Linked DNA regions of Arabidopsis thaliana. The protein of the gene in region 2 purifies or fractionates together with the protein of the main gene of each other region. This does not show direct contact. Each region holds a gene or a part of one and is shown on either strand. Other genes may lie near its edges.

Evidence for each region. The genes of interacting proteins can lie anywhere in the genome.
Region 1: the proteins of SAP5 (region 2) and CR88 purify together in Arabidopsis thaliana (affinity purification with western blotting, with the first as the bait; one study listed by BioGRID). This does not show direct contact.

What each region holds. Positions count from the first base shown.
Region 1 is NC_003071.7:1,279,802-1,286,666, reverse strand, and holds CR88 (Chaperone protein htpG family protein), read right to left. Parts: upstream 4,914-6,865; 5' UTR 4,685-4,913; coding exon 4,433-4,684; intron 4,325-4,432; coding exon 4,251-4,324; intron 4,166-4,250; coding exon 4,040-4,165; intron 3,950-4,039; coding exon 3,856-3,949; intron 3,766-3,855; coding exon 3,682-3,765; intron 3,595-3,681; coding exon 3,451-3,594; intron 3,369-3,450; coding exon 3,252-3,368; intron 3,170-3,251; coding exon 3,134-3,169; intron 3,021-3,133; coding exon 2,940-3,020; intron 2,863-2,939; coding exon 2,758-2,862; intron 2,663-2,757; coding exon 2,522-2,662; intron 2,431-2,521; coding exon 2,338-2,430; intron 2,249-2,337; coding exon 2,171-2,248; intron 2,093-2,170; coding exon 1,838-2,092; intron 1,756-1,837; coding exon 1,653-1,755; intron 1,572-1,652; coding exon 1,397-1,571; intron 1,302-1,396; coding exon 1,196-1,301; intron 1,116-1,195; coding exon 1,026-1,115; intron 947-1,025; coding exon 758-946; 3' UTR 523-757; and 1 more. UniProt on the Arabidopsis thaliana protein: Molecular chaperone required for chloroplast biogenesis. Essential for chloroplast biogenesis and maintenance, and thus for embryogenesis. May be involved in the disassembly of VIPP1 for thylakoid membrane formation and/or maintenance.
Region 2 is NC_003074.8:4,011,067-4,014,162, reverse strand, and holds SAP5 (A20/AN1-like zinc finger family protein), read right to left. Parts: upstream 1,556-3,096; 5' UTR 1,457-1,555; coding exon 974-1,456; 3' UTR 580-973; downstream 1-579. UniProt on the Arabidopsis thaliana protein: May be involved in environmental stress response.

The sequences.
Region 1 (6,865 bases), on a different chromosome or scaffold from region 2:
TGATTTGGAAAGTTTTAATGGACCGTTAAGATTATTAGTTTAAATAATATCCGGAAAATGTGTGATTGTACCATATTTTGATATATCGAATATTGATTTTTAAATATAATTTATTCCATATGCATAATTATGAATTATTGTAAATTCTAATCCGCTCCACTAATTAATTCGCGAGCTCTTAATATTGTTTGCCAACATAATATTTTTAATAAAAAATATGTAAAATTAATAACTATATTTTTGGTTTATTTTAGATTGATTTTTTATATTTAGTTTTTTTAAATCTTTGAAAAAACAATAAATAGGTGATAAGTATTGAATATAGTGTGTTTAAGAAATATTATTTAAATTTGAAATATAGTGTATTTAAGGAATATAGAGTGATGACCAAATTACCATAGACGATTTTGATTAATAATGTACAAAATCCAAAATTGAAAATTGATGGCAGATTAGACTATTTTTCAATTTGTATTTTCTTTTTAATAATAAGAGGATGTAAATTCAGAATATTTAATACAACTCAAATGCAAATATTTTTCAAATATTCGTAAATATTTTTGTTAAAAGCTTTTTTTGTGTAAATTCTCTAAAATTATTTTAATTATCAAAAAAAAACTACAAATACTGTATTGGATAAATCTCGTTCACGCGTGATTTAATTATGGGCTTTCATTAGGCCCATGATACTGCTAATGGAAAGATAAAGCGTTCTGTCAAAAAAAAATCACTGCAAACAAAAGAAGGTAAAAAAGGATCAATCTTGCCAAGGATCACTCTCTGCCCTCACTTCAGATGGTTCAACTACCTCTGTTTCTCCGCTTTTGTCATCTCCTTCATTCACAGTCGAGCTTTCTTCTTCTTCTTCAACTCTGCCCCATCTTCCTCCAACCGCCATTGCCATCATCTCATATATCTTGTTCCCGAGCTCGGCCGGGCTATCAGGCTGTACAACAAACACATATAAGTGAGTAAAATGGTCCAAGACTTTTACTGGGAAACAAGAAAGGTTTCAGATTTCTTACAGTGAATCCACTTGATATTATAGCAGTGTCATACAAGAGATCGACCACTCTTGTTGCTTCAGTGCTCTCTGGTGCATTCTTACAAGCAGCCTGTACCAAAAGAATACAAAAATTAATAAGGCTTTTTCGAGACAAGAGATTTCTGAGAGAATATTATACCACACACTTACGTTCAAGTCTTTGATGATGGGATGATCTGGATTGATCTCTAGTATTCTCCTACCTCTCATGAACTCCAGGCTTGAAGTGTCTCCAAGAGCCTGTGCCTTCATTAGCCTTTCACAATGAATAAGCACATAAGTCAATGAACAAGCACATAAGTTTTATGGTATGTGGATTTCAGGTTATAAAGCTTTTGCTGAAGTACTAACCTTTCCATATTAGCTGACCACCCGAATTTGCCAGAGACAAGCACACAAGGAGAAGAGCTCAAACGGTTTGAGACTTGGACTTTTGCAACTTTGTCACCGAGCTGCTGTTTTATCCAGTCACAGAGAAGGTTAAACTCTTGTTTCGCTTCCCTGTCCTTTACTTCATCTTCATCTCCTGCGAGAATGGACACGTTTTGTTACAAACAAATGGTTGAGAGAAATGTGCGGGCAGTCAGCAGTGCTAAACCATACTTACCGAGTTCCAAATCTTCTTTACTGATATCAACGAATTTCTTTTCTTTGTAGGTTTGCAAATTCTGAATAGCAACTTCATCGATTGGTTCAACCAAATATAGAACCTATAATTAACAAAAGCAAGTGGTGAGAAAGTCAAATCTAAACAGAAACTCGAAGTTGAAAAACAAGTCTTGAAGCATATACCTCGATATCTTTTTGGATTAGTTTCTCCAAGAAAGGGGCAGACTTGGCACTTTTAAGACTATCAGTTGCGAGGTAGTAGATCGCCTTTTGGTTCTCTCCCATGTTCTCGATATAATCATCCAAGCTTGTCAATTCCTCTTCATTCTTGGAACTGAAGAATCTAAGTAGCGGTGTGATACGCTTGTGGTTACCGGTGTCTTCAATACAACCCAATTTAAGGAATCTACCAAAGTTCTCCCAGAATTTCTTGTAATCCTAGAATTGTTTGTACAACATGAATATCCCTGGCTTTCAAATGAGCTCAAAACAAAATTAGGATAATGAGATACCTACCTCTTTGTTTTCACTCTCAGAGATTTCTTGTATCATGTCAAAGGTTTTTCTAATGAGCCTCTTTCTCATGATTCTTACCTGAACATTATCACGAAAGATAGTACAGTTACAATTTGTGATATTCATATATGATAAACATTTGTATCACTAACAGTTGCACCACTCACAATTCTGCTTTCTTGGAGAATTTCACGAGAAACATTAAGAGGAAGATCATCAGAGTCCACAACTCCCTTCACAAAGCTCAGATATCTCGGGAACTGCAAACAGATTAGGTAACATAGTCAGATAAAAATTGAACCACAAATCTAAAGAGATTTCTACATAAGAAAGAACCCATAAAAGACTCACAAGCTCTCCATCAAAATCGTCAGAGATAAACACACGCTTCACGTAGAGACGAATGTTCTTTGTTTTCGGGTTTGTAACATCTTCATTGTTAAGAGGACCCATCCCAGGGATGTACAAAATGCTCCTGAACTCAACCTCACCCTTTAATAATCAAGACAATACAGAGACTAGTAAGCACCAATTGAAGAATTCATAAATTGACATAAATATAGTGTATAGTGTATAAGTATAAAGACCTCAGTTGTGAAGTGTGTGTGAGCAAGTGGATCCAAGAACTCATTGAAAGCCTTTTTGTAGAACTCATTGTACTCTCCTTTTTCCACTTCCTTCGAATTGCGCATCTATTCAAAGACACAAAATAATCAGTAAACATGTTGAAAGAAAAGTACAAAACGCAGGCTAAAGCTCCAAGGCTTACCCATAGCGGTTTGGTCTCGTTGGCTAGTTCCCAATCCCAATACTTCTCAGTTTTAGTGGTCTTCTTTTTCTTTGGCTCACCCTGGAAACAAACAAGTAACAAAATCAACTCAGTAAACAAAATTCTAGAACAGTCTTTTGGTTGTGACTGTTTGATAGTTGATACACACAATTAAAACAACATAATTTTTTTACCTCTTCTCCTTCCTTAACTGGTTCGTCCTCTTCGACCTACCACAAGTTACAAATTTTAAACCATATTAGCAATGTGAATACACTAATATGATTACAAAAACAAAACTTTCATCCTCACCTCTATAGTCCTTGATTTCTCCTGCCATGTATAGATAGGAAACCCAACGAACTGAGAGTAATTCTTCACGAGGTTCTTGATCCTTGTAGACTCCGCAAATTCGTATTTATCATCCTCCTGCAGCCAGGAATAAGCAGTCAAACAAACTATAAGAGATCTGACGCATCAAATGAAAGGATGAATGAATAAAGAAAAGTACCCTCAGATACAAGGTGATTTGTGTTCCACGACGTAGAATGTTATCAGGGTCTGTTTCTTCTCTGATCAGATACGAGCTACTATCGGCAACCGATTCCCAAACATATTGCTTGTCAGATTTGGGGCTTTTGGTGGACACAACAACCTGAAAGCAAAGACAATTGTACGTCCATTCCTCGTAAGAAATACATTAACCAGAAGACACTAAAAAACAAAAGTTGAAAGTCTTCACCTTCTCAGCAACTAAGAAAGCAGAGTAAAACCCAACACCAAACTGTCCGATCAAACCGTTGTCAGCACCAAGGTCCTTGTTTTCCTGAATAAAGAGAGCAATAAAACAATGAGTCCGAAAACATGACATCAAAGATTTGCTAGCAACAGGTTTTCAAAGAGATGGAAAAAAAACCTTTAGAGCCTTCAAGAATTTCGAAGTACCACTTTGAGCAATAGTTCCAAGGCAATCAATAAGTTCTTCCTTTGTCATTCCAATACCAGTATCACTGCATATACGCATCAAACCTCTCTAAGTAAACCTGTTCTATTCAATTTTCAATACTTAAGTAAAACAAAAAATGAGAAGTCTCTCATACGTTATGGTGATGGTGCCGTTATCAGGATCAGGCTTAATCCTAATCTCAAGATCTCCACCATCTCCAAGCAAAGAAGGCTCTGTTACACTCAAGAACCTCAGCTTATCCAAAGCATCACTTGCATTACTGAACATACACAGACACATTCAAAATCAGATTTTGACAGAAACACACAAATCATTTCCAAAACAATCCATCAAAATTGACTCACCTTACAAGCTCCCTGAGAAACACCTCCTTGTGACTGTATAAGCTATGAACAATCAAATCCAACAATCTACTAACCTGTGATAAGATTTCAACAATCAAATCTTAAAACTTTATATCCCCATCAAGTTGAGAGATACCCAGAAAACAAGATTGAAACTTTAGGAGATATGAAAGAGAACCCACCTCAGCTTGGTACTCAAACTTCTCACCTGACCCTTCTTCAGTGGTCTCTTTCTCCGCCACGGCGGCGTCACACTTCACGGCGAATCGGTTACATCTCTTTTCGAGATTCCAGCTACACGAAACGCCGGTTCTTAAAGCGCCGCCGTGTGGGAGAAACGAGCTTCTCAGATGAGAGAGACGAGAAGAGACAGGAGTGATTGGAACTGAAGTCAAAGGAGATGTGTAGAGACTTCTACTCAAAGCAGGAGCCATTAGATTTGAAAGTTGTGAAGGAAAAGATTTGAGATTTTTTTACAATCTCTCAATCTCTAAAGAGAAAAGAGTTTGTAGTAGTTGAACAAAGAGTAACCTAAAAACCCTATTAAAGGTTTAAGGAGAGTGAGGTAAGAGAGGTTTCTAGAAGAAGAGCGTATAAAGAGAAGAGATGTTTAGAGATTGTGAGGTCTACGAGAAGCCATTTCATCAAAACCGTAGGATTATCCGTTTGATTTACACGCGCCTCTCCTTGAGAAATTGTAGCTGACACACACACACACACCAAATGCAAACCAAATTGAAAAAACACCTTATTGGGCCTACACGTTAACCCATAATGGGCCTATAGCCCGTATAAAGTAAAACGAAAGGTTATGGCTGGAAAATGTTTCGTATCAAATTGGCCCATATCAAGAAAGAGATCTTGAATATTTGTTTTTTTTTTTTTTTTTCGTAAATTATATATATGAAAGTTGGCCAACTCTCTTCATATGATAGACACATCATCACTTTAGCATTTGACATGTGTTTATTAAATAATTAATGTAATCTCTTCAATTTCAAATCTATAGTTTAATGATATATTTATATTTAATTTTACATATTATTTTATTATACATATTTAATTGTACTTTTACTAAATTTATTTTAATATCACATGATTTTTTAATAAAATCATTTTAATAGTTTTCTCATACTCGAAGATTTTTATGGTAATCCAAACTCAAAGTATGAGTATATTACTTAATAATTTAACTAAGTTATTCTCTTAAATTGATGTTTATATTCTCTTAAATTGATGTTTATATTCTCTTAAATTGATATTTATATAATAAATAACTGAGGGTGAAGAATATGTAAGGAGCTCCATCATTAAATTCTTAGGTTTATAGAATCCAACACTACCCTCTGTTAAATTGGTTTAAGATAAACATTGTTTAGAAATTATGTGTATGATGCATTGTTGAGAATGTGGTTAGAAAAAAATATTTTAATACTAAATGTAATTGCTTATTGCATGAGTAAATGATAAGATAAATAAAAATTATATTTAAATTAAACAATACAAAAACATCCGAAAAAACCGTGGTGTAGCGCGGATGATCACCTAATATTTCATAAAAATGAAAACATGATAGGTTTACAATCGATGATTTTCAACCTAAGCTAATGGTTCCATGGCAAAAAAAATAAAAACATGGAAGCATAAAAATAACCACATACATAGTGACATATACCAAGATAAAATGATATTAAAATTTTATTGATTTAGAAATTATGAGAAGGTGTGCACTAAATAAAATACAACAATGTTGATGCTAACGAAGATACACGATTGCTAATTATTGGAAATATCGAAACCATACGTTATAGACTCCATACCCATAACTAAATTAACCAAAACATATATAGTTACCAACTTCTCACTGTCCTCTACTTATTTTGCAACTTTTCCTTTTTTTATTACGACTATAATACAGTATGTGGGTATTGGGTATAACCTAAAAACAAAATATTTGCAATTTGGTCAAAAATTTGCAATTTCTTTTAAGAATAATAAAATGATGCAAATGATGTTTATTTGTCCTATTTTTGGATCCAAGGCAGGTATTTATGAATGGTCTACTGAACAAAAGTAATATCTGATGGAGAGCGGAAGCTAAATAACGGACGAAAACACAAAATCTCTATGAGAACTCGGATTAACGAACGGATTTTGTTTAGAACGCCGAAACTTGATGAAGAAGCAATAGAGATAAGGTCGAGATCGATAACGATATCGATGAGGTTTTGCAAATCCTCCTTGCAGGGCTTGAACACAAGCTTTTAGGGTTGAGAGTCCTCCTCTCTAGGCTTTAGACAAGCTCTCTTAAAACTCGTTTATTCAATAATCAAAAACTAATTACAATAATGAATTACATCTCTTAAAATAAGAGAAAAAGAATGGAAACCCTAGCCTAAAGAATAAGCAAACTAATATCAAATATTCAAAGCCCAAATATACATTAATTAAGTCCATATGAAACTAAACCCAAAAGTAAAGCAATAAACAATCTCCTCGGACGTGATGAATACCGGAGGAGCATTTGTCTTCAAGATACGCTGCATCAATATCAGAACAAGGTAAAAAAAGTTTTGGAAGTGTTTGAATTATAATGTTCAATAACAGATATTTAC
Region 2 (3,096 bases):
TTTTAATTATAAACGGTGCGTTTTGTGTTTCAATTTAAAACAACACATTTATATTTTCACTATTGGGTTGGGCCTAATTAGGTGCTCCAACTTTTAGTTTTTTTTTCTGACTTTTTTTTTTTCCGTCAGTTTTTTTTTTCTGACTAGAGTTATAAATAATCATAGTTGCATGAAAGTACAGTATTTTGTTGCAATTTTTAGATGACAATTGAAAATTGTCCCAATGAACTTACTTTTTTACACATTTTATTAAGTAGATATAACTATAGTCTGGCTACAATGATAGTTGCATGAAAGAACAGTATTTTGTTGGACTTTTAAGATATATGCAAGATATTTTTGTATGCGTTGAAAATAATTCACATAAAAAACTCGTAGAATGAGTAAGCTCATGTTAATATTATTAAAAGAAAACAAAAGTCTAATGTATAGTTTAATATGTTATGCTTTAAAATATACAAATCTATAAAAATAATGGAACACAAGAAGATGATAACCCATACAAACTCAAACACGTTATTGGCTTTGCTATTTTATACGCCAAGCAAACTTGTCTGATAGAAATTGGCTTTGTGAGTTGTGACGCACAATGGACTAGTAGTATCGTGATAAGTACATCTACCACACGAAACGAAACGAAACCAGAAAGACATGTTCCTAAATTACCAAACAACCCCTTCGTCTCTTACATACACCATTTCTCGATGATCAAGAAGCAAATTCATGAATCCGTAAGCCACACAATAATAATATTAATAATCATTCACTAATATATAAATTAAAAGATGAAAAAAAAACGTAAAAAAAAAAATTGAGGTTCAGATTTTGATTTGAGGAGAGGAATAATCTCTCTGATCTTCTTTTACAACACATCACCAAATCAAATCCATGTCTCTCCGACCAATCTCTCTTCCGATCGGAGCTTTTGAACCACCACAAGTTTTTCAACGGTTGAGATCGAATTTTTAATTTTTTAAACTTTGACCATTTTCGCAGCCTTGACCACCGGATTTTCTCTAGCGATCGCCTCACGACCAGCGGTTTTGTAGTCGTAGCTACAATCATGACGATCGGAGTAACGGTGCTCTGAGCAGAAAAGCTCACCGCATCGGCACCTGAATCCGGTCAACCCAACTTTCTTCCGACAACCAGAACATCGGTTTACGATCTGTTGATCTCTCTTCTTCACCGCATCGATCTCTCTTGGACGAATCACGACTTTAGCTGGTGACGAACGAAGATTGACAGATCTAGCCGATCTCTTCAAGATCGAACCTGATTCAACAACACCTGCGGCCGCCGAGACGAGAGATGCGTTGAAACATTTCTGACACATGTTGTTCGTCGCAGGATTCGCTGTAACGCCGCAGTTATTGGTACATAACGTCGTTGTTGTTGTCGTCAAGGTTTCGAGAACTTTGAACTCGGTCTCTTCCTTCTCCGTTCTCTGAGCCATCGTCTTATTGAATCTCCCTGCTCCTCCGGCGAGTTTACGGATCGATTATGAGGAGAGAGAGATAGAGAGGTAGAGAGAGGTAAGAATGGAATATGGGCCTCATAGAGAGACGCGTTTCCATCTCTCTTATCATCTCTCCTTCCACCATCCCCACTTTCTCGTCTTCTGGTGGATTTACGTTAATACCCTCATCGCTTTTTTGGAATTACCAGAGAGGATTAAATATGCATTTCAATGATTCTAGAATGGCTTATGACGCCATACAGCGGACAACAACATGTTTCTCTTTCTCACATTTTTGCTTTTTTGGGTGTATTTTCTGATTTTTCTTTGAGTATACTCTAATTTATTAGTATCATGACTTTTATAAACTGAGATATCAAAGAAGGGTGAGGAAAATCGCTGGAATATGGGCCAACTTGTTTATTTATGTTTCTCTCCCAACAAAAAAATCACCAAAGAAAAGTAATACCATAATCATATATATATCTAGAGGTGTTATTGTGTTAACTAGTTTCGAACACCTGTATGTTTATGTTTGGTTCGACTTCGGACATGTTAGATTTTTATTTTTTACTTTAGGGAAAAACAAAAAGAAAGAGATTTTGGGGGTTAAAACTGTCACACAAAAAAAACGACCTGTGAGGTTGTAAAGCTACGCGTACAACATGTCAACATGCCAATTTGCAGACTTTATTTTTTTTCCATGTTTTTGCGTTAATCAGTAGTATTTTATTTGCTCTTTGGCTTGGAGGTTGAAGCTTTAATGGTCTTATTTTCCTGACCATATTCAACAAGACAACAACCCAGAAGGTGGATTGTATTTCGCGAAATGTTTCTACTTTTTTCTTATATAGATAATGGGATGATGAATTAAAATTGAAATTAATCTCTACAGCATGTAAGAAAATTCGAATATTTTAGTCATTTGATTTTGATAAGTCAAATGAACTAACCATAATTCAACTAGCAGTGGAAAACTTCAAATTTGTTCCTTCAATCAATCGGCTGATGAATCATCAGTATCATTGGACAAAACTAGGAATTGGTGATCAGGTGATACTTTTGATATTTGCATATATTTGATTTCATTCAGATTATGGAAAATGTAAATAAAAATCTATTTATTATAGTAATATTTTAATAAAATTAGTAATCTTGAAAAATGGAGAAACGTAGCTAACTATGGGAGAAAAAGCTGCCTAAAACGTCGGGTTGTTTCTGAGGTCAATGCCTAAACAGCTAAACTCGAAAACCAAATGACAACAAAAAAGCATCAAAAAAAAAAGAAAAAAAAAAAGAGAGAAAAATAAGAGAAATCGAACCCCCAAATAAGGAATTCTGACAGAGTCGCCTGCTAGATTTGTTTTCTTTCTCTCTCGTCATCTCTCTTCCTCTCTGTAATCCCAACCGGAGTTACGATTCCTTCTTATCGTAACTCCTGCTTCCGATCTCGATCCAATTTTCACTTTTGTTTTGTCCGAACGGTAAATCATTTCGCGGCTTTTTTTTTTTAAGGTAATTGATCTCGATCCTTGAAGAAAATTCGTAATTGTATATGCGCGACAAATGTGTATTGATGCATTCGTATTGGTGTATTGTTTAGGGAAGGAGGAATAAGCAAATTTTGATTTGATTCC